Linked DNA regions of Mus musculus. The protein of the gene in region 4 purifies or fractionates together with the protein of the main gene of each other region. This does not show direct contact. Links are inferred from orthologs where the notes say so. Each region holds a gene or a part of one and is shown on either strand. Other genes may lie near its edges.

Evidence for each region.
Region 1: the proteins of Ralbp1 (region 4) and Ccdc6 purify together in Homo sapiens (affinity purification with mass spectrometry; 3 studies listed by BioGRID and IntAct, counting the BioPlex papers as one, with this or other methods). This does not show direct contact. The link is inferred for Mus musculus from reciprocal best matches to the Homo sapiens genes RALBP1 and CCDC6.
Region 2: the proteins of Ralbp1 (region 4) and Reps2 purify together in Homo sapiens (affinity purification with mass spectrometry; 3 studies listed by BioGRID and IntAct, counting the BioPlex papers as one, with this or other methods). This does not show direct contact. The link is inferred for Mus musculus from reciprocal best matches to the Homo sapiens genes RALBP1 and REPS2.
Region 3: the proteins of Ralbp1 (region 4) and Ap2m1 purify together in Homo sapiens (affinity purification with mass spectrometry; 3 studies listed by BioGRID and IntAct, counting the BioPlex papers as one, with this or other methods). This does not show direct contact. The link is inferred for Mus musculus from reciprocal best matches to the Homo sapiens genes RALBP1 and AP2M1.

The regions. Positions count from the first base shown.
Region 1 is NC_000076.6:70,093,917-70,101,821, reverse strand, and holds the start of Ccdc6 (coiled-coil domain-containing protein 6), read right to left. Parts: upstream 4,702-7,905; 5' UTR 4,523-4,701; coding exon 4,241-4,522; intron 1-4,240.
Region 2 is NC_000086.7:162,639,247-162,647,084, reverse strand, and holds the start of Reps2 (ralBP1-associated Eps domain-containing protein 2), read left to right. Parts: upstream 1-3,426; 5' UTR 3,427-3,577; coding exon 3,578-3,811; intron 3,812-7,838. UniProt on the Homo sapiens protein: Involved in ligand-dependent receptor mediated endocytosis of the EGF and insulin receptors as part of the Ral signaling pathway. By controlling growth factor receptors endocytosis may regulate cell survival.
Region 3 is NC_000082.6:20,540,162-20,547,332, reverse strand, and holds the end of Ap2m1 (AP-2 complex subunit mu), read right to left. Parts: intron 7,001-7,171; coding exon 6,918-7,000; intron 6,526-6,917; coding exon 6,520-6,525; intron 6,359-6,519; coding exon 6,223-6,358; intron 6,124-6,222; coding exon 5,982-6,123; intron 5,587-5,981; coding exon 5,467-5,586; intron 5,378-5,466; coding exon 5,242-5,377; intron 5,137-5,241; coding exon 5,039-5,136; intron 4,695-5,038; coding exon 4,583-4,694; intron 4,023-4,582; coding exon 3,888-4,022; 3' UTR 2,424-3,887; downstream 1-2,423.
Region 4 is NC_000083.6:65,846,066-65,852,776, reverse strand, and holds the end of Ralbp1 (ralA-binding protein 1), read left to right. Parts: coding exon 1-87; intron 88-533; coding exon 534-657; intron 658-2,581; coding exon 2,582-2,827; 3' UTR 2,828-4,362; downstream 4,363-6,711. UniProt on the Homo sapiens protein: Multifunctional protein that functions as a downstream effector of RALA and RALB. As a GTPase-activating protein/GAP can inactivate CDC42 and RAC1 by stimulating their GTPase activity.

The DNA.
Region 1 (7,905 bases), on a different chromosome or scaffold from region 4:
TTTGTTTATTTCCCACTCTTAAAAAAAAATGCCATTTATAATCAGTAGCCTGCCTCTACTGCTGATTGAATGGGTAAAATTGGATAGTCACTCAAAACATCTCTGATCCTACTGAAGACTAGCTCTAACTCCTCCCCCATATGATGGACAGGCCAAGAGAAGAGGCCTGTTACAAAGTCACACACTCTCTCCCCACAGGCAATGGCTTCCTCTTACTCTAGAGATTCTGAGGAAACAGACCAAAGGATCCACACTTTTTAAATTGGGATTCGCAGTAGGAATGAACCGGCTCTACCAGAGCAGACCGGAGAGCTCACTGGAGCTCACTGGAGCCTTGTACATCACTTTGGGACCAGTACAGGCCTGTGAGAAAGATCAGAATCCAGGAAGAGCAGGACCACATTCTGTGAGGGAGAGCACCCCCAAATGTCATTTATCACTGGCAATTTCTTACAAGAGTAAACACTCAATTACCACATAACCCAGCAACTCTAATCCTGGGTATTTACCCAAATGAGCTGAAATCTTTTGTCTAGACAAATGGATGTGAATGCTTAAGGCAGATTTATTCACAACCGCTGGAACTTGCAAACAACTAAGATGCCCTTCAGTAGATAAATGGTCACAACCAAGCCCTAAAAAGAAACAAGCCACAAAAAAATAAATACTGTAGAGGGTCATTGGATAAGGTACCTGTTGTGTAAGCTTGAAGACCGGGTTCTCAGAACCCAAGGAAAATCCATCAAAACCTCGGTGGGCCTAGCATCCACTTGTAATCTCAGCCCTCGGAAGGTGGAAACAGAGAAACCCCTGAGCAAACTGGCCTGGCCAGCTGGCTAGACTAACCTAATCTGCAGGCTGTGGGGTCACGTGAGAGAGACCCTATCTCAATAAAGAAGAGACAAATCAAAGAACACAATCCCAGGCTTCCATAGATACGTATGCATGCCTGGTGTGAGCGTGTGCATGGGCGGGCACACATGCATACACACGCAAAAGAAAGAGGATGGGGAATCCTTCCATTCATTCTATCGAGTGTGTGACAGGGCAAACCTTTCCACACCCACAGGACATCCCCACTACAGTGAGGGAGGGCTCAGCAATGTCCAGGTCTTATGGGAGAGATGGCTCAGTAGTTAAGAGCACTGGCTGCTCTTCCAGAGGTCCTGAGTTCAATTCCCAGCAACCACATGGTGGCTCACAACCCTCTGTAATGGGATCCAATGCCCTCTTCTGGTGTGTCTCAAGAGAGTAACCATGTACTCACATATGTAAAACAAATAAATCTTTATTAAAAAAGGGGGGGGGCAGTGGTGGCACACGCCTTTAATCCCAGCACTTGGGAGGCAGAGGCAGGCGGATTTCTGAGTTCAAGGCCAGCTTGGTCTACAGAGTGAGTTCCAGGACAGGCAGGGCTACACAGAGAAACCCTGTCTTGAAAAACAAAAACAAAAACAAAACAACAACAAAAAAGAATATCCAACTCCAACAGTGAGCCCTAACGTAAACCACAGACTATGGGTACACGTGGGACCCTCAATTCTTAACAACTGCCCCACTCTGTTGCTCCGGAGGCTGGTGGTGGAGGGAGTTGTGCCTACAGAGGGTATAGGAAGCAGGTGGCAGAAACTATGCCGGTCTTTACCGTAAACCTCAACCGACTGGGGAAAATAGCCTACTCTTCAAGGGGGTCTCCACTACCCCACCCCATCAAGGTACAACTGAAAGTCAACAGGCCGTCCTTGTCGTATCTAAGTACAGCCTTCATCACCTTTACTGTACATCGTCAGGAAAATGATTGTCACAATTAGAAGCGCAAGAGCATAGAAAGCAAGAAATGGCTTGCCGTTACTCCCCTTCGTGTCAAATTAACTAAAACTCTGGAAACCTGCAGAGGCCTGCATGAGCTACCTAACCCTTGTCAGAGTCTTCCCAGTCAGGTGTGTCAGGCAGCGCACGGCTGGACGCTGGAGTGGACTCTCCTGGCTTAAGCCAATTCAGAGGGGGGACCCTGCCCCCAAATCTACATCTCAGGTGAACAGCTACATCTCAGGTGAACAGCCTCCTCAATCTCTTTCCTGCCCCTGACAATTAGCCCCTTAAACCCCTGCCAAGAGTGAGGTACTCAGGTGGGCCATGTGCTCTTTTATCTCCTTGAATACATTAGGGGAGAGAGAGAGAGAGAGAGAGAGAGAGAGAGAGAGAGAGAGAGGGAGAGGGAGAGGGAGAGGGAGACGGAGAGAGGGAGAGAGGGAGAGAGGGAGAGAGAAAGAAAGAAAACGAACTTTGAGGCCTGCCCCACACTTGCAAGTGGTCAGCTTGAATGACTTAACAACTTTACTGGCTAGGACTACAGAACAACTTCCTAGCACCATGGCTCTGACTGTAAGTTAGTGGTCGGTCACTGAGAGTGAGAGCCAAAGAACCAAAGCTTCCCCCACCTCATCCACTGTTAAGTACTCAGGAGGTGTCTGGCTTTGCTTGCCACTGACGAACATGCTTGTCCCTGCAAGGCCAGTTTGTCCCTGCAAGGCCAGTGTGTCTGTGTACAAGTAACAGACCTGCTTATGGGTCAGCAGGTCAAACAGATAACCTTTCATTGTGTTTCCTGTCTCCACACAAACAGCAGCCTGACCTGCTGCTCGGGCAAACAAGAGGCCAGAGAGGTGGTACCCCCTCCTCCTGTAAGTTCTGCTCCCTTCCGTGGTTCCAGCTCTGCAAGCGACCAACGCTGTCCTTTACGGCACATTTTAAATAGCGTTCCTGTGCATCAGATTTTAAATAAACAACAACCTCCAACTGTCCTGTCCCTCTGTTCTTCAACAGCAACTCTGCAGAGTCCTTTCTTAGCCCAGAAAAGGCTTACATGGTTACCTCCACAAACGGCTTTCCTTTACTATCAAAAGGCCAATCCAGTAACTTGCTGCCTGGAGATGTACTCGCATAGAACGGGACTGGTTAAGAGCAAGTAAGATGCTTTTCTGCAAGACCAACTGCTATTTAGGTTGCAAATCACACTGCCTCTCTAGTGGAGACTGAGACCGGCTAGCTACACAAACCAAGGCAGCCATATAGAAGCCACAGGGCACACACACACACACATATCACTTTTTCTTGGCACAAGGGCAGCTTAAATTTGTCCCGTTCTCGTCTCCAGGATATGATCCCTGACCCACCACCAAATCTCTTTTTCTCCACTGGAAGGGTTTCATCTAATCAGCTGTGTGCAAGCGGCTCTGGCAATTTATCCTCCTTGATTCCTTGACATTTTCTTTCCGTGCTGCTGGCTGGGAAACTGTTTTGATCTGAATAGGGTTGTCTGTGGGGGATTCTGCATGTTAATGATGTAGAGTTGGCAAGGATGGGAGGTGAGAGCACAACGCGTACTTTTTCTAGTTACGTTTCGCCTCATCACCGCTACGGGGGCCTTTCCACTCGGCTACACCAGGAGGCTGATCTCAGACTAATCTTACCCTCTTCCAGGGGAGCCTCGAGGGGCCAGGTAGAAACAGAACAGATGGCCTGTGTTCCCGTCAAGTACCTAGACTCACAGGCAAGTACTCCTAAGACTCTCGAACCAATGAAGGAGACGCACGTACATCCTTGCTCAGCCAGGCAGTCCCAGCGGCCACCCTCCATCCTGGTTTCAAGCTCCAACCCTGTCCCAGCCAGCGCCAGACGTTACACTCCCCACTACTCTGTACCCGCCCACCCTCCGGGCCCAAAAGGACAGTGATTCCGAACGGGGTGCTGGTGTAGCCTCAGTGCCCGCCCTTCCCTTTCCATCCTGGCCAGAAAACTCCACTTCCCGGATTCCGGGCCACTCTCTCCCTCCCCCAGCGCCGGCGATCCAGCAAAGCGCCGTCCTCCTGCCAACTGGGGACCCAGCCCAGTGGCACACCCCGTCTCCCCAACTAACCCCTGGACAGACCCCAGCTTCGTCCACTCACGGGGGCTCCGGAGAGGGTGTCCCTCTATTCGGAGCCTTCAGGCACCCTAGGGTTGAGAAAGTCCCACCCCGCCCCCCCCCCAGCCACGCCGCCAGCCTCTAGCCCTGGCTCGGAGGGACCTCCACCCTAGGCGACGAGGGGACGTTGGGGAGTCTCCCTAGGCACCTCCAACACCTCAAGGGAGGGAGGGCGCTCGTGGCCCCAAGGCCCGCTCTCTGTGCCCGCAGGCCCGCAACCCCGCACGGGGGCGCGCACTCGGGGGTCCCCCCTGGTCCGCGGGGTGCACTCACGATGGTCACGCTGGCTTTGCGCAGGTCGCGGTTCTCCTCCTGCAGCGCCTTGCACTTGAGTTTGTAGGTCTCCAGCTCTATCTTGAGCACCTTGTTCTCCTGCTGCAGCGAGGCCAGGCGGTTGGTGAGCTCCTCCAGGCGGAACGGCGAGATGACAATGCCCCCCGACTTCCCGCCGCCGCCCCCGCCGCTGCCGCCCGAGGTCGCCGAGCAGGACGACTGCATGGCTGCCGGGCCGCCGCCCGCCGCGTCCGTGTCGCTCTCGCTCGCGCTGTCCGCCATGGCTGGGCGAGTGGGCGCGGGGAGCCGGGCGCCGAGGGCCGGGCGCGCGGCGAGTGGGCGCGCGGCGAGTGGGCGCGGGGCCGGGCGCGCGGCGGCGGCGGGGGAGCTGGGGAGCGGGGGAGCTCAGAGCGCGGCGCGGGCGGGCGGCAGGGCGCAGACGCGCGGCGGCGGCGGCGGAGAAAGAGAGGGCGCTTCCCGCGGCCGCGCGAGCTGCTCCGCCAGGGAACAGAGACCCCGCCCGGACTCGGGCAGTACTGCAGCGCCGGGACTCTGGCGCGCTCCGCGGGGCCGTCCCCGCAAAGCCCCAGCCCCAGCGCTCTCCTAGCAGCTGCACACAGACGCTCGAGCCCCCGCCGCCTCCCCGCGCACGTGCTCCCGCCCCGGAGGGTCCCCTGCGTCCCCGGGCCCCAGCCCCCCAACACACACACATACACCGCCGCGCCGCGCCGCCTCTTCCGGAGAAAGGCGGACCCCACGCAGCGCCAGCCCCGCAGGTGCCGGGACACGTGGGAGGGGCAGCCGGGCTCCTTGGGCCACCCCACCCTCCCACCCCCGCTCAGCTGGAGCCTGGCACCTTGGATCGGCGCCGGCGCGCGTGGATCTCCCCCAGGGTGCCCCGTGCAGACCGCGCTTGGGGCTGGGAACAGAAAGTTGCACTGCAGTGGGTCGAAAAAGAAGAGTATCTGTGTGTCTGTCTGTGTGTCTGTGTATCTATTTCTCTCCCTCTCTGTGTGTCTGTCTGTGTTGTGGCATGTCGGCAGCCACAGGTTAGCCTAGCTTGCCACAAGGCCCCGGTGCGTCCAGTTGTTTGAACCAGGCGCCACCCACCTTTTTCTCTTTACCTCCTGCAAAGACTCTGCACCGGTCACGGGGATAGGATTAAGAAACCAAGATTTGTCTAGTTAAAGAAACGGGAGCTTTATTTAATTTTTTTTTTTTTTTAATCTCAGAAGGGTTGAAACAAACTTCAAGTACCAATTTTCCAAAGTAACTGCAGGCACAATGCTAAACAAATAACCACGATTAAGTGAGGGGAACTGTATAACCATTATTATCCGCTGCTCTCCAACTCCTACAAAACTCCAGGAGCTAAAAAATAAAACCGTAATTACTACTGTAGAGAGCCCAGCTTCAAAGAATCAGAAATTCAAATACTGTTAGGCCCCTCCCTCTTAGGAGAGCTTGCTTGTAGGAAACAGGCCTAGCAGGTGAGAAGGGTCTAAACACTTCACCTCCTGATACAAAACAGCTTTCGTTTCTGGGGGAAAAAATGGAAAGTGAAACTAACCAGGCGGGCTTTATTATCCAAGTTTAGTCGACGGAAGAACAAACTCATGGAAACAAAATGCAAAATAAAGGGGTGCGGGATGAAAAGTGTTTTCTGGCTGTCAACTGTTTTATAGTTTTATAAAGCGCTTAGCCATGACTACATGGCTTTCCTGGCTCATAACCTTGTCTTTAAACCAAATTGGATCCAGTGGTTAGACATGTTTCGTCCCCACTGCTAAATAGGAACTGGTCTCACCTCGGAATAACTCTTAACCTGCCAGGGGTGAAACCTTGACCTCAGGTTTACCAAGATGGCTGCCTCTAGTCAACAACCCAGACATGCTAACTTCGGTGAGCCCTCCCACCCCCCAAGACGTCTCCTAGGTAGGCTTGAGTTTAGAGCTAGGAACACAGTCGGTGAAGCAAAATGTAACAATAAAAGTTAAAAATCCAGGGGAGTGCAGGAGAGCCTTTGGCTTTGCTCTCCAGCAGCAGAGCACCAGTGTAAATAATCCTCTGCTGAGGGAGCCACTTTGTCACTGAAGTTTACTTGGCTCCTTGACTTTTGCCATGTTGGGTCTGGGACAGGAGACACTCGGCTCCTTCGGTTACAGGACGCTTCTGGAAAAGCAGCTCGCGGGGTGAGATGGATGGGGTAAGGGGAGCACTGCCCGGGACTGGGGTTTAACTGCATTCTTTCCGCTTTATTCAGGGCAGTCTGGGGTGGGCGTGGCTTCCATACTTCACAAGTTTCTATTGTTCTTTTCTCACCCCACCTCCAGATTGCGGGGTTTGGAGGGCTTACAGCCCTTGGAGCATTCTCTCGGGAGTGAGGGGTGGGGACTAGCTCTCTCCGGTTTATCCCTAAAACTTACTGCCTTGGGAAGCCGACCTGCAGGCTTCCAGTCGGCAGAGGGGTGGAGTTTGAAGTGCCTGGTTTTCTTAAAGGGCCCGTGTCAGGCTAAGCTTGAGAACATCTTGGTCTTCCTTAGGGGAACTACAGTTTTGGCATGGTATCTGTAGTTAATCATCGGCTTGAGAAGATATTAGGAGAAAATTCTCATCTTCTCAAGCTTCCCTGCTGATACAGATGAGAATAAATTGGAGGATTCTTCTCCCCCATCCTGGTTTTTATTGTTACTGCAGAACAGAAGCTTACCTAATTTTCTACTTCTTGTAGAACTGATTCCCCTCATAAACAGACGATTTGTCACGACGCTGGTTCTGTAATAGCATTACAATGGAAACACCAGATACAAAACAGATCGGATCATTGTAAAAAACTCCTCAGCGTTCCAGGGGAAATGAATCAGAAGGTAGGTGGAAGGCTGAGTCCCCTGCAGGAAGAAGGGGCAAGGGAAGATGAGCGCCTCCCGTTGCAGAAATAATGAAATCACCATCACCCTGAGCTTAAGTCACCAGGTTTATGGATAAAGGAAAGGGTGCCTTGCAGTTGAGGCTCGAGGGGACATCTAAATCTTTGTTTCTCAAATACAAACATGTTGTATTTTTATGTGCTGGGTACCCTTTAAACCTAATGTTCTCAGTGCAAACATAAAAATAGTGGTGTAAATCCTAGTATATTTTTGTTGCTTAATTGTAATGATTGTGTATGTATGTCTCTCTTTCTATATATATGTGTGTGTGTATGTATGTATATATGTATGTATACACACACACAACATACACAAATACACATATGTATGTATATACACACACGGTGATCACCATACACCACTGGAGTCTTAAACAGGCTTGAGGTGAACCAGATGTAGGCTGGCCAGAGGTGGAAAGTATCCCATGAAGCAGTGCATTCAAGAAAGATAGTTCACACCATTTAGCCTGTGTCTGGCCCCTGGGTCTGGAAGGGGGATCTGGACATTGTCTACTTCAACCCTTGAGGCTAGAGAGGTTTGGGGTGTTTTTGTTTTTGTTTTGTTTCTGTCAGAGTGAGCTGTAGTGCACCTGCCTCTGTCCTGCCTGCTCCATGCCAACCAAAAACTGTCTCCAAACATTGCCAAGACTGCCTTCCCCCAACCCCACACCCACCACAAAAACAGCTGTTCTACTAGAGATAGAAGAAACCCAAAATGATAGAAGTGTTGCTGTAAAGG
Region 2 (7,838 bases), on a different chromosome or scaffold from region 4:
GCACCTGTAATTCTAGCATTTGGGAAGTAGAGGCAGGAGGATCACAGACTTGAGGGCAGCCTGGTATACAAAATGAGGTCTTTTCTTTCAAGAAAGTGTCTTTCTGACTGGATGAGGTGTTGCAGGCCTGTAACCACAGTACAGAGCAGGTGGAGGCAGGAAGATCAGGAGTTCAAGGCCAGCCTGTGCTACAAGAGACCTTGTCACTATCTATCTATCTATCTATCTATCTATCTATCTATCTATCTATCTATCTATCTATCATCTTCCTAAGCTACCTTAGACTAGTGTGTACAACAATACCATGTAAAGCTTTTTATATCAGTGGCTATGATATCCTATATTTGTTCTTGCAGGAGTGCTTGGGGGAAGTGAGGCTTGTTGCCTATCATATAGAGCAGACTACTCTGTCATGTGGCTACTCTTCAGGAGAGCAGAGACAGATTGGAAAAGTAGGAAGAGAATAACCTATCTCATGGCTTCTATGTTCCTGAAAAGGCATGACAGTCATGGAAAGTGTGATGAGATTTTGAAGTAGAAATTTTCTAGAGCCAGACAGACTCTGCTATTTCTCTACTTCATCCTTTGTGTATTGCTGCGGTCGTCTCTGTCAGCAGTTCTGAAGCAAAATGTGGAATGAGGAATGAAAGCTTTGAAAAGAGAAATTTTCTGCATTTGTAAGCAAACCTAGGTTCACCTCCTGTTGAGTGCAAAGCTAAGACAGGCAAGGGCAGGGCAGGGAATATGAGTGCTGAAATGTTAATAACTTTACTGGGTAAGATGAGTTATGTCCGAAACAGTACCTTAGTGAACAAAGGAAGCATGGGGATTTTATTCCAGGAGTGGACACACATACATATATGAAAACCCTTTATGGGCAGGCACATTTCTGAGCATGCTCAGTTTAAGGTGCTAGTTCAAGGAGAAGACACACATTTCTGGTTGTACTTAGCTTATGGTCATTTAGCCAGTGTTCAGAAAGCTACAAAAAACAGGCAACTCTTTTGGACTTGATCAGTTTGCATTATAAAGATAACAAGAATGCCTCTGGCTTTGTTCAACGTTCTTGCTAAAGTCTTATGAAATTTTACAAGCAGAAAAAAAAAACCAGACAGTGCATCGGAGCTTGTCTACACGTTCACGTGCACTTAGCTGCTAACATGCTTGGGCTGAATCTTTACTTTTTCTTCTCTGGTACTGGAGGACAGACTTGTGTTTGGCACATGCTGAGCAAATGCTGTGCTACTGAGTCATACCTCCACCATGAATCGTCTATATTTTATTTCTCCAGAGTCCAAAAGGGAAGTATAACTCTGGCTATAATTGAGGTTGACACGTTTCTTTTTTCTTTTGTACATCTCTTTCTTCCCTTTTCCTTGTCTGCTTTTCCATCTTTTGACTTCTTCATTCTTTTCTCTTCCTTCCATTGGTCCTTATTTTAGTTGACTATAATATCAAAGTGTGCTTGTTATCCTTGATAGTATTTTTGACTTGTTTTCGGCTTTTGCTTTTTTGTGTTGTTACTGTTCTTGCAATGGGTCTTCTCTGGAGTGGTCTCTGTCTCTGGAGTGGCAGGATTACAGGTATTTGCTACATCTGACTGCTTCACGCTTTTAATAAAAAACTGTTTGGGATGGAATATATATATATTCTTAATACACACATATTCTTTTATCCCTCTTTTATCACTATGTAGCCCTGGCTGGCATGAGACTCAGTAGCCCAGGCTGGTCTCAAACTCACAGAGATCCTTTGGCCTCTGCATCGTGAGTTCTGGGTTTACAAAGGTATGTGACACCAGGTCTAGGTCTAACAGGTCCTTTAATTAGTGTTTAATCACAAAGAGGTTTCCCCTTTTTGGTTAGTGTTTTGGCATGAGGCATGCATGTACAATGGTTACATTTGTGCAACTCTTCTCAAGAACAATGGCACTTAAGATTTTTCTTTTGGAACCCAGTGTGGTGGCACATGTCTTTTATCCCAGCACTCGGGAGGCAGAAACAGGCAGATCTCCATGAGTTTGAGGTCAGCATGGTTTGAGGCCACAGAGAGTTCTAGGACAGCCAGGGCTATGTAGAGAGACCCTGCCCTAAAAAATAAAAAACAGATTTTTCTTTTGGAAAAAATGCAAATATACAAGACTTATAACTGACATTTTCAACACTGTTGTGGGGCAGACGTTTTTCTTCTAGTATATTATTTGTGGATCCCCCCCCCTTTTTTTTGCAGGCTAGCTTGTAATTCACAGTGTAGCTAGAGTAGATTCAAAATTTTGGTCATTCCCCTGCCCCAGCCTCCTAGTGTTAAGGTTACAAACAAGAACCACCACACTTTTGGCTAGAGCAATAGCCATCAGGGAAGAAGCCCATTTGAACACACACACACACACACACACACACACACACACACACACACACGCACACGCACACGCACACGCACACTGGGTTTTAAAGTTCTGAGTTCCAGTGTTGACTTTTTTGGTAGGAACTTGGACAAATAAATTTTGGACAAAATGTAAAAAACTGTTGTTTTCCTGCCAAAAGAAGTGTTTTCTGAGCCAGATGTCTTAAGAAAAGACCTTGTCTAAAAAAAAAAAAATAAGAAAATAAAAAAATCCTTCCAGAAAGTGAGGACTCTGTGTTACAGAGGTCAGTACTTTCAGGACTTAAGAAGCATAAATTTTCCAGATAGTGTCTCTCACCAACTGTTTCCCAGATTTCAGTCAAGCAGTGGAGCATAATGGACCTCATATCTGAAAAACAAACAAACAAACAAAACCCCAAAACGCCTCTTCCCACTTCTTTCTCAAGGACCTTCTGAAGTACCTTCTTCAAGAAATACCTTCTGGCACTTCTCAGTAAGGTTCAAATCCAGATCCCAGCCATACCTGAGAAAGTGGCCAAACCCCATCATCTCTGGGGTGCTGCTGGGACCCCATTCACATCTTTGTTTTTGTTTGTTTGGTTGTTTTTTTTTTTTTTTTTTTTTAGCTTTTCAGGACATAGGAGGAAGGGAAATCCAACTTTTTGTGACTGGTCCTTTTTCTAATTGGACACCACATCCCTATGGGACTCCTAATGAGACAACATCTCAGTTTTCCCCATCCCCTGAAAAACTCTTTTTCTTGTGTGTGTGTCCAGATGTTCCCTTCTTAGCCAGGGTGGAGAGCCCAAGATGCCCCTCAGGAACACGGTGGGCTAGGTGGGCGTTGGCAGCAGCTCTCTCTGCCTGGCCTCCCTTGCAGAGCAGGTGAAAGGCTTGGGAGGGCGGCAGCCAGAGTTGCGTTCCTTACCTGGCGAAGGGGCGGAGCGGGGCGGGCTTTCGGGGAGGGGCCCAGGTGGGATTTCGGGCTGTGATTGGTCAGCGCCGCGCCTGTCTCCATGTGCCGCGCAGAGGAGGCACAACATTCAAGCCCGGAGGGGGCGGGGCCGGCGCTCTCTTGGAGGAAGCGGCGGCGCTGCAGCTGCGGGGCGTGGGGGCGGCGGCTTCGGAGGCCGAGGCGGCGGTGGTGGCCCTGGCGGCAGCACCAGCACCTCGGCCAGGGAAGGCGGTCGGTTCGGACGCTACAGAAGGCCCTATGGAAGTGGCAGCGGGCGGAGGCTGCGGCGCCGGGCCGCCTTTGCTGCTGAGCGATAGCGAGCAGCAGTGCTACTCTGAGCTCTTCGCGCGCTGTGCGGGCGCTGCAAGCGGGGGCCCCGGACCTGGTCCCCCCGAGGCTACCAGGGTCGCCCCCGGCACTGCCACTGCGGCCGCTGGTCCAGTAGCTGATCTGTTTCGAGCGTCGCAGCTGCCACCAGAGACATTGCACCAGGTATGTCTCTGCGCTCTTTTATCCCTCTCTGGTCTGTGGGGGCAGTGTCTATGGGAAGAATGGGGCAACAACGACTATTCCCAGGGACTATTCCCGGAGATCTGGAGGGCGGTGGCCAGGACCGCAAAAAAAAAAAAAAAAAAAAAAAAAAAAAAAGGGGGGTGCTCTCTTGCCGAGGATGGCGGCGACGCCCTTGTCCCCAGGGACACCAGCCTCCTCTGCAGCTCATCTGCTCCTAGCCTAGTGCTTGGCTGTGCTCTTCGTCTCTTGAGAAAGTCTGACACCCCTATCATATCTGGGGGTTCTACAATCTCCCAGACCCAAAGTTTGCCCTGTTCCGAAAGTGATGTTTGTTTTGGCTGCTGTTTGCTTTAACCTCTGTTCCTTGCTCCTGCCCCTCCCTTTGTTGACTACACTCTCGGGGTGCCTTGTTGGGATTTGAACTTGAAGGGTGTGTACATGTGTGTCTGTAGGCTCTGGGCCTACAGCTACATGTTGTCCTTTATACTTGTGATATGTACATATCTGCTACATAGATTTGTTCACTAATGTATTTCTGATTATTAGTATAGAACTGGAAAACCTTAAAGCCCAATTGTAGAACAGGGACTCAGGGCTACAAGATAGGAACATTGATCAAGTTCAAAGTAAGTTCCCCATTTGGGTCCAGGGGTGGATTCAGAAGTCTACAGCTGTAGTTTGTCATCTTATTGTCACTTGACTTTGACGTGGAGTTACGAAACAGACGGTGTCATAGCTTCTGTCTGTCTGCCCCGTACCTGGAAAGGAGGGAGGAGTGATTCACTGCAGGTGCTGTTTTGTGCTTTCCTCGAGGCTTGGAGAAATTGCTTGGGAAGCCCTTTGTCTGTCGGTTGATGTTACCAGCAGTAAATGGGGATCATATTGTTAATATCAAGCCCTAAATGTGAACCTATACTTAAAAAGCAATAGTGTGAAAGTTATTAGCAACAATGGAATATTTACAGTGGTGAGCAAATGCTTTAAAATGTAGTTCCTAGGAAGTACTGACGGTTTTATGGTTCACTTATCATATCTTTCTCTGCCTTTGTGAGGCCCGCTTTCTTTCTTTCTTTCTTTCTTTCTTTCTTTCTTTCTTTCTTTCTTTCCTTCTTTCTGGCACTCAAGACTGTTTTATACTGCTGGGGTATACATAGATGCTCCTATGTTTATGAGCATAATTTTAGCCACTTGGTTCACCTTTCGAATTGAGGATTTCTGAACATGATTAGTATTCATAGAATTTAGCATGGCTGTTTGTTCCTGTAGAATTCTGTGATAAGAAGATAGTTCTGCCACAGTTGCTAAGCAGTTGAGTTGCACGGGGTGATAAGGAAGTTGGTGTTCTGAAAGAAACTATTACAAGGACCTCAGAATACTGCTGAGCATAATAAATTTACTAAAGTGTCCGAGGCAATGCACCAAATAGTTGTGCTGTACATCTGGCCGGGATTAATTTGTGGACAGTAATACATCAAGTGTGATAAAAGAAAAGGGTGTATGAAAATTGGTTGAGGTTTTCCCAGGAATTGGAGAGGGGATCTTTCTAGTGTGATAACTGATGCTTTCTTGAAGAACATATAATTTAAAAAGAACCAAAGGTACTCAGCCCAGAGAAATAAAACACAGCCCTTTTAACATAACAAGTTAGAATGGCCCATTACTCTTGGTACAGGTAACAATTAACATTTAAAGTCACCCTGAACTGGGAAGGGTAGTCAAAACTGGGATCTAGTGGCTATCTAACTTTTATCTACCACTTTGGTGATGTGTGTGTGCCCTGTCTGACTTCATTTGTTTTAATTCATTAGTATACTAGCGATTTTAAAACAAATGTAGAAAACTTCCCCCTTTCCCTTCTAAACCGAAACCTGTAAGTTCAGATGTAAGTGGCCCAACAGGTATAACTGCTCAAATCATGGAGACAGTAACCAGACCTGGTAGTTTCTATGGTTAATGGCCAGATTTTCCTCTTAATAAGCATACGATTAAGATGACTGTAATGTAGGGCTGGGGATTTAGCACAGTTGGTAGAGTGCTTGCCTAGCATGCATGAAAGACTGGATTCAGTCCCCATCACTGCACAAAATCGGACATGGTGGCACATACCTATAATCTCAGCACTCTGGAGGTAGAGGCAACAAGGTCACAAGTTCAAGGTCACGCTCAGCAACATAGCTAATTTGAGGTCAGTCTGGGTAAATGAGACTTTGTCTTAAAATGATGATTATTATCTAATAACTCACAGAGATCCAATGATAGGCCATCCTTAGACATCAAGATAGGTTATAAATATTGTTTAACATGTACTATCAGGAGAAACCTTTAAATCGGGAAGAATCCCAGTTAGTAACATCTGATTGTCAGATAATAGATTAAGGCAAAGAAGCACGTCCTGGCTGTGAGAAGTAGGTTTATTTTATTTTATTTTAGATTTATTTATTATTTTATACATATAAGAGTTTTTCCTGTGTATGCCTGGTATGCACCAAGGTCAGAGAAAGGGCATCAGATTCCTGGGATCTGCAGTTACCAACAGTTGTGAGCTGCCATGTGAGTGCTGGGAATTGAACTCTGGTTCTCTGCAGGGGCAGCAAGTGCTCTTAAATGCTGAGCCGACTCTTTAGCTCCATAGGAAGATTTTAACATCTCTGGACACAGGCTTATCTTTGAGAAGTCATTAAAAATTTCAATTTAGGTTCCCTCGTGGCTCAAGCTGGCCTCAAACTCTCTATGTAGCAAAAGTTGACCTTGAACTCCTGCCACTATCTCCCAAGTGCTACTTATTTGAAAATTAAAAATATGTTCAAAATAAAACTGCTTAATCATTAAGGAGATCCACAGGTAAAAGGAAATCAACAAAATCCTTATCAGGAAAACTTTTTCCTGTTATGAGATTATTAGCCAGAACTATTTATTTAAATTTTAAATAGTTTTTCCTTTGGAGATAATATAATTTCTCCTTTTTTCTCTTTTACATTATTTCCCCTTCCTTTTCCCACTTTCAAACCCTCACATATATTATTCCTTGCTCTCACTTAAATTTATGGCCTCTTTTGAAATTCATTGTTGTTACATGTATATTCACATATATGTATATACATATATCTTCCTAAATCTAACCCTCTCGGTCTGTATAATGTTACTTGTATGTATATGTTTTCAGGGCTGACCATTTGGTATTGGATATTGGATATAGTTGATATGCTCTTCTCTGGGGAATGCTGTTTCTCCCACTCTCAGAATCTCTTAGTTGCTGTTGTTCTTTGTATAGAGTTTAGGCACCCCAGGCAGTCCTAGGCGAGACAATCTCACAGCAAACTCCCTGACCCTCTGGCTCTTACAGTCTTCCTACTCCCTCTTCTATAATGATCTCCAAGTGCTAGGCATGAGGGTGTGTTGTAGAAATGAATGGTGGTTTTGTTTTGTTTTGTTTTTTTGAGACAAGGTCTTATGTAGCCCGGGCCAGTCTCAAACTCCCCAAGTAGATGAAGACCACTTTAAACTCCCCCAGTCCTCCCTCTACTTCCCAGGTCCTGGGGATACAACCTGCCAAGTTTATCTTTCTAAAAGTGAATAGATACCAGCAGATACAGTAAGTACCACATTCAAGACACTGTCTACTTAAAAGGATGTTTGAAGTATGGTGCAGTGGGAGGCATGCCTAAAATCCCAGTTCTAGGGAAGCTGAGGCAGGAGGATAGCAAGTTTGAAGCCTATTTGATCTGCATAGTGAGACAATACTTCAGCATACACGACTTTTAAAGATTATTTTCTACTTTTGTTATATATATATATAAATGTCACTAAAACAAAACATTTTTACACGTTATTTTAGTTTAAAATAAGACATTGTATTCTACATCACCTTCTACAACTTGTTTTTCCTCTCATTGTTATATTTTTTTTGGAATTTGTCCTTGTTGACATATGTCCCGTCAGTTTGTTTGCTTCCTTTTGAAAACTTTATTACCCACGCTGACAGTGAGTCATCATGATATTGTGGAAA
Region 3 (7,171 bases), on a different chromosome or scaffold from region 4:
TTCAATTCTCTGGTCTCAGTAAGCTACTGAGTACTCAATTCTCTGGTCTCAGTAAGCTACTGAGTACACCCATATGTGTATAATACATTTAGGAGACTAGGGCAGGCAATTTGGGAGTTCGAGGCCATTCTGGACTGTACTAACTTCCGCATAAACAAAACAGCAATTGAACCTCTAGATCTAATAACCAGTTTACAGTAAATTCAGGCCAGGGGCTGGAGAAAGGACTCTGAGAAGTGCTTGTTCTGTTCTCAGCATTAAGACCTGAGTTTGATCCCTTGTACCCAAGTAAAGTCAGATGTATCTGTAAGTCACTGTGGTCTATTTTCTGTATAAAATGTACTTAGGCGCTTCCAGTTTACTTTAGAGTTGAGACATTAGTAGCTATGCAACTGAGCCAATGTATCAGGAAATCAGAGAGGGTTCTCCAGCCCCAGGAGGATACAGGGTTTGGGGTGGAGACAATGGTAGAAAAACAACGGGAAAGACTGAAACTCTCTGGAATATCAGGGGAAAAAAGGGCAGGATTTTTTTTTTTTTTAAATATAGATCAGAGACTCTAAAAACATTGGTTGTGCCAAATCATAGGGCCAGCCAGGCCTTTCTGCCTGTTTCCCAGGCTGCTTTATGTTAGTTATTCTGTCTCCAGTCCTGAGACGTGAGGCACATCTTTACTCCCACACCCTAAACCCCAGTGCTGGTAGGCAAGGTAAGATCACCAGGACTTAGGAGCTGGTCCGCTGAGCAAAATCATTTTTCCAGGGCCAGTGAGATACTGTCTTGAAACTAGAGGCAGTTGAAGAATACACTCAACACGAACATCTGACCTCTATCTGTACACACACACACACACACACACACACACACACACACCATTGAAACCTAGAGGCTGGAGACAGATGGTTCAGCAGTTAAGAACACTTGCTGCTCTTTCAAGGGATTGGTGTGTGGTTCTCAGCATTCAAATGACTGCTCACAACTCTCTGCAACTCCACTTCCAGGGGAACCCGATGCCCCTGTGGCATTGGGGAGTTCTCTGCATACATGTGATGCAGGTAAATCCCTCAGGCATTAAATGAAGATAAAATTAACCAAACACGGTTCTTCTGGCAGGCCATACGGCAGGCATCAAGATGGCACACGCTGCTAAGGCTGTTTCCTACACTTTTACAAAGTTCTTTTGTAGTTCAGGTTCCCCTCCAGACTCTTGCTCTGAGGCCATCCTGAAGAAGATGCTCTGTCCTCACTTTCCGGTTCCCCTTATGAAAATGAACCTTGGAAATACCTGGATTCACAATACCAGAACAGCTATGGCTCTCGCCCTGCTTGGGCTGACTACTGCTGCAACCACAAACGCTTGCCGCCAGTGCTGCTGGGAATCCTTGCCCCATCTGCCGGCATCACAAGTTTCACGTTGACTTTAGGATGTGAAGCTCTTGAAGAGTTTGTGCCCACACTGGTATCATCTTCCATGCCTCATACACAGGGGGTCTGTATGAAGCGGCACAAGACGCTGACCCAGGCCATCCAGAAAGCCAGGGAGTGTGGTCTTCTCAGTTGCTACCTTCTCCAGGTTGAGACCCGAGATGCTGACTTTCCTACTATACATCGAACTGTCAGTGTGACTCCATCAGCCACCACCCCACCCCACCCCCACACTGCTGTCAGGTGAACCTTGGTACCCGTGGTACAGCTGGCAACAGCCACGGAGAGAGAACTGACTCTATCAAGGAAATCTCCTAGAAGAAAGTGCCCCCCCCCCCACCTGAGTCAATGCCTGAGATGCTCAAGACACCACCAGCAGAAGCCTCCACCGAGGAGACCGACCTGGGAAGTCAGACTAAGGGAGTGCAGTCTAGGGCTATGTGGTGTCATGTGTTCTGCAAAGGGTTGTTTTGTGACAGTGGCAGACCCTAAAGGGAATTGACTGGTATGAAGAGGCCAAGCACATTTGAAGTTGAAGAGGGACTAGATGTATATGGGTAACTTTGGAGAGGGCTTACATATGAACTGGAGACTCTTGTGTGTGTGCTAGATCGTGTATCCCTATTTTAAACTCTCTGGCTCAGCTTTTATACAATAACGCTGTGCCTCCTCAAAAGGAAAATAAAACACCAAACCAAGCCAGTCCCCCCTCACCACCCCCCAAAAAAAAGCACAATTAGGGGCTGGAGAAATAGCTCAGTGGTTACGAGCATGCACTTTTCTTACAGAGAACCAAGTCTAGTTCTTAGCACCTACATCAGGTAACTATGAGTTGCCTATAATCCCAGATGCAGGGGATCTGACATCATGGCTGGATCCCGATGCAATCACATTGAGTCCTTTGCGTTAACACATACTAGCGTTGGCCATGAATTGACTGATGTTGAAGCTGGTGACAGGACATGGGGATTAGCTATATTCTTTTTTTTTTTTTTTAAGATTTATTTGTTTTATGTATATGAGTACACCATAGCTGTCTTCAGACACTCCAGAAGAGGGCGTCAGATCACATTGCAGATGGTTGTGAGCCACCATGTGGGTGCTGGGAATTGAACTCAGGACCTCTGGAAGAGCAGTCAGTGCTCTTAACCACTGAGCCATCTCTCCAGCCTCGATTAGCTATATTCTTATGCTTTAAATTTACTCTAGTTTTTGTTTGTTTGTTTAAAAAAGCTGAAACCTCATAAGGTCCAACTGGTGAGGGCAACCCTATTCTTTATTTATTCTAACATACAAGATCTTTGGGACAATCAATCCCCTTAGGAACTCTGGAAGAATGGAGGTTTTTGCCAGGGTTTGATAAGATGCATGGGGAAAATATCTTTCCTGCAAGAACTAATACAAGATCTTGGAGAGATGGCTCAGCAGTTAAAGAGCACTGACTGTTCTTCCAGAGGTCCTGAGTTCATTTTCCAGCAGCCACATAGTGGCTCACAACCACCTCTAAAGGGATCTGATGCCCTCTTTTGGTGTGTCTGAAAACAGCTACAGTGTACTGATATAAATCCTTAAAAAAACAAAACAAAACAAAACTAATACAAATCTTGCCTCTTTGTACTAACTGGGAAACCTGCACACTTACAACACTGCACTTGAGAGATGGAGGCGGGAGGACCCTGAGTCCAGCCACCTCAGCTCACACAATGAAACCCATCTCAAAGCACATATCTGCAGTATCAGCACTTGAGAAGCAGAGGCACAGGGATCACCTAAAATTTACGGGCAGTCTGGTCTACATAGTGATTTCTAGGTCAGCCAGAGCTACAAGCAGCAAGACCCAAACAAAACAAAGTCTGGCATGGTGGTGTACACTTTAATCTCAGCACTCAGGAAGTAGATCTCCTGAGCCTACACACAGGTTCCAGGACAGCCAGAACTGCATGGAGTAATAATAGTCCCGTCAGACCCTCTGCGGGCCCCATTAACATTTAGCCAGCAACTCCACTCTATTGTTTATTGGGTTTGTAACTGGACAAAGTCACACGTGTACAAAACGAAGCTCATACTATCCCAAAGCAGAGTGGGGACTAAAGACTGGGGATCTGTTACTGGCCTTTGGGGAAGCTCTGAGGTGAGGGGTAGTCAACCTTCCCACTGCAGAGGTGTGGCCACAGGGGTAGAGAGAAGAGGAGAGCACCTGGCTTTGGTCACAAAACTCAGGGCCTGGCGCTAAGCCAGGACAGACAGACGGAAGAGAAGCCTCAAAAACCACCCTCCCAGGAAGCCAGGCACTACCTGACCAGTTCCACTGTGGTGTGGCTGGTTCAGACTTATACTCAGGGGCTATTGGAAAGGAAAGGCAGCAGAGCAGGACGGAGGAACGACACTGGTGAGTGGTCACTAGGGGTACTTGGACCTGTGGGAAGGGTGGGTAGGGAGGTGGGCCAGCTGCAACTAGGCAGCTAGCAGCGGGTTTCATAAATGCCACTGCGGCCAATGTATCGCACCCATTTGATGACATCATGGTCGCTGTAGTTCAGCTTCGGTTCGAATACCTTCAAGTAGCGCACCTTGAGGCCAGAAGGCGCGAATGGCACCTGAGCAGAGGACAGCTCCAGTTAGGAATATGGCCCTTCTATCACAGTACTCTGGCAAATTCCATGGTTCACCCACCCTATCTACCACAGGTGTTCTTGAATGACTGGTGTGGAGGGAATTCACTAGGAGACTACCACGTGAAGAGAGTTACTAGGAATCAGGACACATCTGAAGCTGAGCCCAGTTGTGAGGATAAAACTATTGCTCTAATCCTTAGGTTGCCAGAGCACTATCTCTGAACTACTTATCCCAGAGAACTACCACTGAACATACTTATCCCTGCCAATGCTGTGGACTTGAAAATAAAGTGGAGAAAATGATGTGTCTTATTCACACAAAGCAAATGTTTCTCAAAAACTATTTTGTGACAAATCAAATAGTCAAAAGCTTTTGGTCAGTTTAAACACCAATTTCTATTAAAAGGGGATGGGTCTATCAATTCAAGACATTTCCCAACCTAGGCCCAGTTCTCTTATTCCTAAGAAGTAGAGTCTAATCAAAATGATCAGAGAGTCTCCCATCACACCCAGCCATTGCGCTATACCCCTCCTCTGCCTACCTCAAAGTTCATGGAAATGGGGGGCCGAGCCCATTTCTTCTTATCGTTGGTGGGCAGGAGCTCAATCTCTGCGCTGATCTGGGATTCCTTCATGCCTGCCATGCGCTTGATCCTAGGAACACAGAGGGAATGGGCAGCAGGAGGCTGCAGTAGTTACTCCTTCAGTACCCGGAGCTGCAGTTTCTCCCTCACCCAGACTGTACGCTTTAGACACAAGTCGACAAGGGCCAACGGGAATATCTTGAAAACTAGACACACGTGCTCCTCAAGTGCATGAGAGATGGAGCACACACACACACACACACACACACACACAAACACACACACACACACACAGGCTCCTGGACAAGCATGCACTCTTTTCTCACCCTATAACCCACACAGAGGACAGGTCAAACTTAACCGGAAGGTACACTATGACGCCTTGAGCCTGCCTGTGGCCTCCTGAAGACTCACTTCCATACAATGGCGTTCTCGCTGGCCTTGTACTTGGCCTTCCCCTTCATGCAGATCACCTGTACCCCGCTTGTGTTCAATGGAGTCGGGATCCTCACCTAGGAGTGACACACCCGTCAGTGAGCTCTGGGGAGACCTGGATCATCTATCTGCCTTTTCTTCCCCGAGATAGGTGTTTCACTCTCCAAGTCTCCAGTCCTCACCTCAATCTTCTGGGCCAGAAGTGAGGGCTTGAAGTTGGACTTGATGACCACCTTGACCTCCAGTTTGGTGCGCCCCACCTCCCGCACCAATGGGATCACCCGGAAAGGAAGGATGATGTCCTTGGTAGTACGGTATCTTTGGAGGAGAGAACACATGTGATAGCACAGGGCCAGCCCTACTCTCTTCCAGATGCACCCCCTGCCTCCTCCACACCCCCATGGCACCTCATGAGTTCAAACTCTCCGTCGGGAGGGATGAAGCTGATGCTCCGCTCAGAGTCAAACTTGCTGAGTCGCACACACTGGTGGAAGGTGCAGTCATCAATGGCGATCGACTGCTTACCACTGTAAACGGAAGCAGAGCTCAAATAGGTACATGTCAGATTAACAGACCATGCCAGAGCAGGCTAGCCACACAGATTATGGGAAGCTTCCAGAACACAGCTTTCTGACTTGGAAATCCCTGCCCTGCAGTTTGAGGTGTGGGAGAGCCTCTGGGTTCCTTATCACCTGAGAACTTTGTTGCTGGGGATCAAACAAAAAAAGCGTGCTCTCCAAGGACAAAGACAGTCCCTCCATGCCTTATCGTCAATCACAAGACTAACTGGCCAAGGATGACTTGGAAAGACAGTTAACAATTCCAGAAATGAACTCCAAAGGGAATCTGGGTTCACTAGGCCTCACTGGATTCTCAAAGGCTTGCTCATCCTTGTGTCCCTTGAGCTCCCAGACACCGGTACCTCTTGCTTGTTTCATCAGCTGTGCCTTTGCCCTGCTTTTCTATGACAATCTTGTCATTCATTCCAAACTTGCACTCAGGCATGCCACTCAGGTAACTCTTCATCACCACCCGGCCTGACACATGGGCACTCAGCACCTGCCCTGGTGACAGAACAGAGAAACAGGGAGCAGCTGAGCCACGCCGACAGGCCAGGACCTACCCACCCCCAATCCCCGGTCTCATCATGAGAAGACACTTACCCTGTGGGGACATAAGCAGGTTCACACTCTCCAGAACATCTAGGAAGAGTTCATTCCGGCGATACTTGATGCCTTCTCGCCGCCAGCCAATCTGCCCGGTCACCTGGCTGGTGATCTGGGACTGTTCTTCCTTCGTCTATATGGGATAAAGGTGGCCAATGACCTCATCCCTTTCCCCGTCCCATTACCCTCTGCCCACTGTATCACGTCACTCTCCCTCCTTCCTCACAACCCTTACAGGGCAGGATCTGCAGAACAGAGTGAAGCTGCAGTGGGAGAAGTGAGGGAACAACTTACCTGATGCTAGAAGCCGCAGAGCCAGCAAGGGGCCAACACAACAGGAAGCAGCATGGTAAGCAAACAAAGGGAGAAAGCGATAAGGCTCAAGTCTGAGAGGAGAGCCCACGTGCTTTTCTGAGGAACACAAGGCCTGAAGAGCAGACACACCCCTGTCCCCCGTGTAGAAGAAACCAACTGAGCTGTATTCCTGGTAATAGAGATGCTGAGTTGGCAGCTTCTGGGGTAGGAGAGCTAGCTACCCAGAGCAAAAAAGGCCTGCAGTCATGGTAGGAGGGCTGAGGCCAGCACTTCCTGTCAAGGGCAAGCTCATGAGTCAGCTAGAACAAGGCCAGGGATCAATAGGAAGGAAAGGAGTTTGGGGTCCACCCTGTGTGCTATACAATTAACTCAAGTACCTGACTCTTGATACCCTGCTGGGTGATGAAGGTTTTCAGTGCACCTGTCTCTGAGTTCTGTGGGTAGCCAAAGTCCAGAATCTCTGTAAAAAGAAGGGAATTACAGCCTGGCAGTGAGGTATATGCCTTTAATCCTAGAAATCAGGAGGCAGAGGCAGGTGGCCGAGTTCAAGGCCAGCCTGGTCTACAGAGCCCGTTCTAGTACAGCAAGGCTACACAGAGAAACCCTGTTTCAATAACACAAAACAAAAAAA
Region 4 (6,711 bases):
GGCCATGGAGCAGTTCCTGCGTCGTCAGATCGCCTCAGAGAAAGAAGAGATCGACCGCCTCCGAGCTGAAATTGCGGAGATCCAGAGGTACAGGGGCCTCGGACTGGAAGCTTCCAGCCGGGTTGTGCTGTATATGAGCAGAGCTGAGCTAAAAGTTCAGTGGTTTTCATCTTCCTTGTGCATGGAGCCGTTAGCAGCCCCTCCTGTTGTGGTGACTCCAGCCATTACATTGTTTCCTTGCTACTTCATAACTGTAACTTTGTTACCATTATGAGTTGTAAGGTAAATACTGATATGCAGATGGTGGCCTTAGGCGACCCCTGGGAAAGGGTTGTTTGGCATCCATAGAGCTTGTGACCCACAGGTTGAGAACCACTGTTTTAGACATTCCTGGAAAGAACTGGGTTTCTGAAATCAGTCACTTTAAGCTCCTTACTGGGTCTTAGGCAGCACTGGGTCAGGTCGATGCTCAGGCGTGGGTGGGTCTTAGCCGGCCTCGGAGTTCACTGTAGTGCTGCCTCGTCTCCACACAGCCGTCAGCAGCATGGCCGCAGTGAGACGGAGGAGTACTCGTCCGACAGCGAGAGTGAGAGCGAGGACGAGGAGGAGCTGCAGCTCATCCTGGAGGACCTGCAGCGGCAGAACGAGGAGTTAGAAGTGAGTGGGGGACAGCCTCCAGAGGGTCTTGGGACCACAAACCACCTATTTTCTCACTGGAAACTTACGGTGGAGAGGAATTCAAGAACACTTGTTTTTTAAGATTTACTTTATTTAGATTTATTTTATGTATATGAGAAGTACACTGCAGCAGTCTTCAGACACCACAAGAGGGCATCAGATCCCATTACAGATGGTCACAAGCCACCGTGTGGTTGCTGAGAATTGAACTCAGGACCTCTGGAAGAGCAGTCACTGCTCTTAACCGCTGAGCCATCTCTCCAGCCCTCAAGGGCATTGTTAGCAGGATGAAATGTGTGCTCTAGGCTGTCTGGAGTGGGGCGTTTTCCCCTGACCTTGGTTACAAGTGAGCCTAAAAGAGGTGAGAGGCGCCTGGCCACTGTCCTAAGTCGCCTTGCAGTGGCTTTCTTGTAGTCTGTGGGGTACCACAGAGGAGTGGGTGTGACAGGATGCCTAGGAAGCTGGACTGAGAGGGAGATGCTGGCCTAAGCGGGGTTCTCTTTTCATCCTGAATAAACATTGTCTTCTGTAAGGACGACTAGGTAAACAGACACCTTTGCTTCATTCATGTTCACTGAACTGCCTGCCAGGCAAGTGCGCATGGGGTCAAGCACAGAGGCTGGGCGCGGTGGCTCAGGAGGCAAAGAGGGGCATTTCTGAGTTGGAGGCCAGTTTGGTCTACAGAGTGAGTCCAGGACAGTTGGGGCTTGAAAAACAACAGAAAGATAGAAAAACTACTGTGGCTGGAAAGATGGCTGAGCAGTTAGGAGCACTGGCTGTTCTTCCAGAAGACCCAGGTTCATTTCCTAGCACCCACATGGCAGCTCTTAACTGTCTAACTCTGGTTCTAAGGGACTCAACACACTCACACAGACATAAATAAAAATAATATTTTAAGGATTGCCCAGGACTCTGCTATCCACTGTGTGATAGGATCCAGGGACATGGCCCCACTGGTGAAGGGGCTGCAGTGAGGCTGAGGCCCGGAGTTAAAGCCAACTCCCTTCACGTGCACACACCTGTGTCACACACGCACCTGTACCCCTTAAGGGATCCCTGCACTCAGGAGGCAGAGGCGCACAGAGCTCTGAGTTTGAGGCCAGCCTGGTCTACAGAGTTGAGACCTTGTTTTGGAAAACATAAGAAAGGAAGTTAGTGTGAGTGAGACGGGTTGCTGGGAATTCTGGCATTTAGAAGACACATTGGCAACCTGGTTTGATCTCCATTTTCCTGAACAGGAACAAATGGCAGAATCGGGAGTGTTCTGTTGTGCACGTGGCGTAGGGCCTGCTCGAGCCAAAGCGGCTCCCCTGCATCTCGCCGTGTTCTCAGTTGGGGAGGGACGGGTCAGGGCTTCCCCAGTGTCACACCGAGCGAGCAGTGGGACTGGCACCTCTGCTCACCTCACTGAACCAAAGTCGAGTTGTGGGCACAGCTGCTTAGGATGCGGGGAAATCCCGAGGAAGAAGGGTGTTCCGATGGCTGGGGCGGTTGCAGGAGCTCGGGGTGAGCTACCCGTGAGTTCCTGCTGAATGAGTGAGTCCCCAGCATTTAAGCAGCTGTGGTTCCCACACTCCTCAAGGAGCACAATTCAGATGTGGTCAGTAAAGAGAGACTTTGACTTGGGAAGAGTCTCAGCTTTTACCCAGCCCTGGCCCCTGTCCTCACTGCTCTGGTGACACATCGTTTCCTAAATGTGTTTCTCTTTGTAACTCAGAGTCCATACTCAGGCATTCAGAGTGATGCTTGTACCCTAGCCACATATCCATCTTCTTATCTAATGCTGCACCAGCCAGGCTGGCTAGAATAGAACTAGATCTTTCTCAGGATGGCTTGCAGCCTGTGCTCTGCCTAGATTCCTTGTGCCCTTAAGTGGTAACTGCCCTTTCTGTCATTCTTTAAGATAAAGAACAATCACTTGAACCAAGCAGTCCATGAGGAGCGGGAGGCCATCATCGAGCTCCGAGTGCAGCTCCGGCTGCTCCAGATGCAGCGAGCCAAGTCTGAGCAGCAGCCGCAGGAGGAGGAGGAGCCCGAGAGGCGAGGGGGCATAGGCCCACCGCCCTGTGACGGTGTCCTCGAGGTGCGGGTAGCCAAGGAGCAGGCGAAGGCCTCGCCCAGCAAAGACCGGAAGGAGACGCCCATCTGAGCTGCGGGCCGGGCCCTGTGCATCTTACTGTGAGTGTGAGTGAGCCGCCTGCCTGCTGGACACTCTGTAAAGGCTCGCTCTCAGAGACGTCCCCTCTCACACACGTCTGACTCCGTGTCAGGCTCAGGGCCTGGGAGGCTGAAGCAGTGGACACACGGGGGGCTTGCAGGGAACACAGGCATTTCCAGATAGTGTCAGCTTATTTGAAAAATAATTTTCTTTGTTAAAAATAACTATTTTAACCTTTGAGTGGCTTCTTTTTAAACCAAAAATTCTTTTCTTTGGCTTTTTTTTTTTAAATCACAGCAGAATCAGGCTCTCTTTCTTATCAAAGGGTAGGAACCAAATCAGGTCACTTCTGCGCCTGCCTCGTGGACGCTCGTGGTCTCCCCAGCCCTGCAGGGTCTCTGGCCACTCTTGTTTGTGCCTTCCACACCTTTTGGTGCAGATTGTTCAGTGGGGAGCTGCCTCATATTCTCTGACTGGCCAGAAAGGCTCTCGCTGGGGTTCCCTGCACCACGTTGCTTTTCCACTTCCGAGTTGGGTCTGTCTGTGTGAGTCAGGACGGCCCAGGTTGGTGGCAGACAGAAGTTACCTGTGCAGCCTGCCACCAGCCTGGGCAGTGCAAGCCACTCACTCACTGCCAGGGATCAGCAAAGGCCTCTTCTCTGAGGTGGTCGGAGGTGACCACCTTGACTCTGAGGCGTTGCACAGGAAGCTTCTCAAACCAGAGCCCTTCTCCACACTGACCTTCCAAGAAAACCACAGTGACTTCAGCTGCTAGCTTGGGCTAGGATACACACCTCTGCCAGGATAAGCCATGTAAATGCTCTCACGCAGAACGTTCACCTTTCCGCGTCATCTCAAGGGGCTGCTATAAGGACTCTGACAGAACCGAGCCGAACCGGTAGCTGTGACTGACCCCACCTGGTGTTTGCTTCTAACTCAGATGACTGCTCCCCGAGTCTGGGAGGCCTGCCTCTTAGGCAGCCAGATCTCACTGTCAGATGAGTGGCCCCCAGGGAGGTCCCCTGTGGCTCTGAAGACAAATCCCACACTCTAAAGTGAGCGACAAACCCACAGGAGGGCTCTGGTCTCCTCCTAGTTAGTATTTATTTCAGCGCCTGTCTTTTGTGCGGTTTTTTGTTCGCCTCTGCCTATTGCACTGTTGTGACTTGTTGGCCATTATTTGATTTTTGTACGGAAAAAAAGCTTTGTTATAGAAATCAGCATACTATTTTTTTAAATCTGGAGAGAAGATATTATGGTGACTGGAAATATGGTCAGGTGTCAAATATAAATGTACAAACGCCTTGCTGCATCCCGTCCGGTGTACAACATCCACTTTATATTTGCTGGCAATATTGAAGAATTCTTTTTGTTTGTGTAAACTCTAATTTCTATCAAGGTATCATGGGTTTTTAAAATTAGTATTTCATTACAAATGTCTCGATGTTGGTTAACTAATTTTTGCCAGGACCATTATTGATCAAGGAAATAAATTCAACAGCCATTTGAGAAAAAAAAAAAAAAAAGGCTTCTATTGTCCACTCTTCTCTTTGAAATAATTGCATAGCCAGCATCTGGCACGAAGCTGGTGGAGATGCCCAAGGTGGAGAGCGAGTGGGAAGCCTTATTCCACCTCGCTCCTCGCCCATGCTGTGTGTGTGCTCCTGCTGTGGTCTCTTGGCCCTCTGCCCACCGTGCTTGCTGCTGACTGGGAGGGTTTGCTCAGACTGTGTGCAGTTCCTGAACCTGACAGTTTCCTGGTGCTGTTGGGAAAGCAAGCTCTGCCTTCTAGGTCAAGTCCAGAAGGCTTGGCCCAGTTGTTAGAGGTTACAGAGGTTTGCATTTTACATGTGAAATGAGGACTTAGAGCAGCTAGCATGCTAGAGATGTATGACAAACATCTGAATCTGTAGCTAGTAGTTTAACTGCACCACAGAATTTATGTTGCTTTACAGAAGGTTCCAGGTACCCTGCTGTGACATCTTAACTTCAGGCAGGGATCTGGAAATGAGGGCCCGAAGAGGATCAGCTCCCAAGCGGGGACTCATGGCTCTCACCGTGCTCTTCTCTGTAGGCGGCTCTGTACTGAACAACACCGGGCATGAAGTCCTGGGTATAGACCCTGGTGTCTATGTACAGAGCCAGGAGTGCTGGGAGCACCTGTAATTCTACCCTGGTGGAAATGAGGATCCTGTAAATGCTAGTTAGCTGCTCTAGGGGAGTCAGTGTGCTCTGCGTTCAGAGGCCAGCCCTGTCTCCAAAAGTAAAGCATAGTGATAGAGGACACAGATATCAGCTTTCTCATTTCACATGCCATGTGTGCTCATGCAGGCCTGTACACACACACACACACACACACACACACACACACACACACACACACAATATATACCCTGGCTGGTGACACACACACACACACGCACACACACACACAATATATACCCTGGCTGGTGACACACACACACACACACACACACACACACACACACACAATATACCCTGGCTGGTGACACACACACACACACACACACACACACACAATATATACCCTGGCTGGTGACACACACACACACACAATATATACCCTGGCTGGTGACACACACACACACACACACACACACACACACACACACACAATATATATACCCTGGCTGGTGACACACACACACACACACACACACACACAATATATACCCTGGCTGGTGACACACACACACACACACACACACACACACAATATCACACACACACACACAATATCACACACACACACACACACACACACACAATATATACCCTGGCTGGTGACACACACACACACACGCACACACACACACACAATATATACCCTGGCTGGTGAATCCAGCTGAAGACTGGGCTTTCTGGAACCTTCCTCCAGGTCGTTTTGCTAATGTTTTATTCGTCTGAGTATGATCTAAGCTTAGTTGATATTCTTCAGTAGAAACAAATCAAAGACCCCTATCAACTAGGTAGAGAGATTGTGATAAGATTACACATTTGTAAGATGATGCATAATTAGTAAATGGTTCTATACTGGACTTCAGGAGACCCAGGAAGTAAGGACCAAGTAGCAGGGTCCTTAAATTCCCATATACAGGCTCCCTCTGCAGAGCAGTAAGGTGCTGCTGCTGTGTCCACGTCCCCCACTGCCCAATTCCAGCCTGGATGCTTGTCCCCTCTAATCTGGAGTTTTGCCACCATTCAATTAGTACGACCCATGAAAAGTTGTTCTAGTTTGACAGAGGAAAGAGGAATAGCTTCATTTGCAGTGAGCTGTAGTTAATTTTTAAAACTGCTTCACGTCTGCTCAGTACCATGTCCTCTGGTGATGTCTTCAGCAAGGTGCAGGCTCCTGCCTCTCTTCAGGTGTGTATGTACTTCAGGCGAAGGGGCCCTGGGTGTCTGGTAGTGTTGGGGCTTGGGCTTCTCAACTGTGAGAAACGGCTTTCAGGGAGGCACAGGAAATACATAGCTTGCATGCTTCACCCCCAGTAAGCAATTTTATCCTGTAGGGCTTCATTTCTCATTGACAAAACAAAAATCCTCATTTCAAAAAGGAAGGTTTATTAGATTTAATCCCTAGTGTAGGGCTTTAAGGCATAGACGTTTCCTGAGGACATAATCTGCATATTGTCATGAAGCGCCAGGGCACAGGCAAGACTGCATCAACAGTTTATTTTGTGTGTTACTGTATGTCTGTTGTATGTCTATTGTAGGTAAGTCTATTACTGTATGTATGGTGTGTGGAGGCCAGAGGCTGACATTGGGTGTCTTTTCTTGATTGTTAATTAGTATTAAATATCTTTTTACATAGTAAATATATCTTATTTTTATGGGATTTCATATATAACATA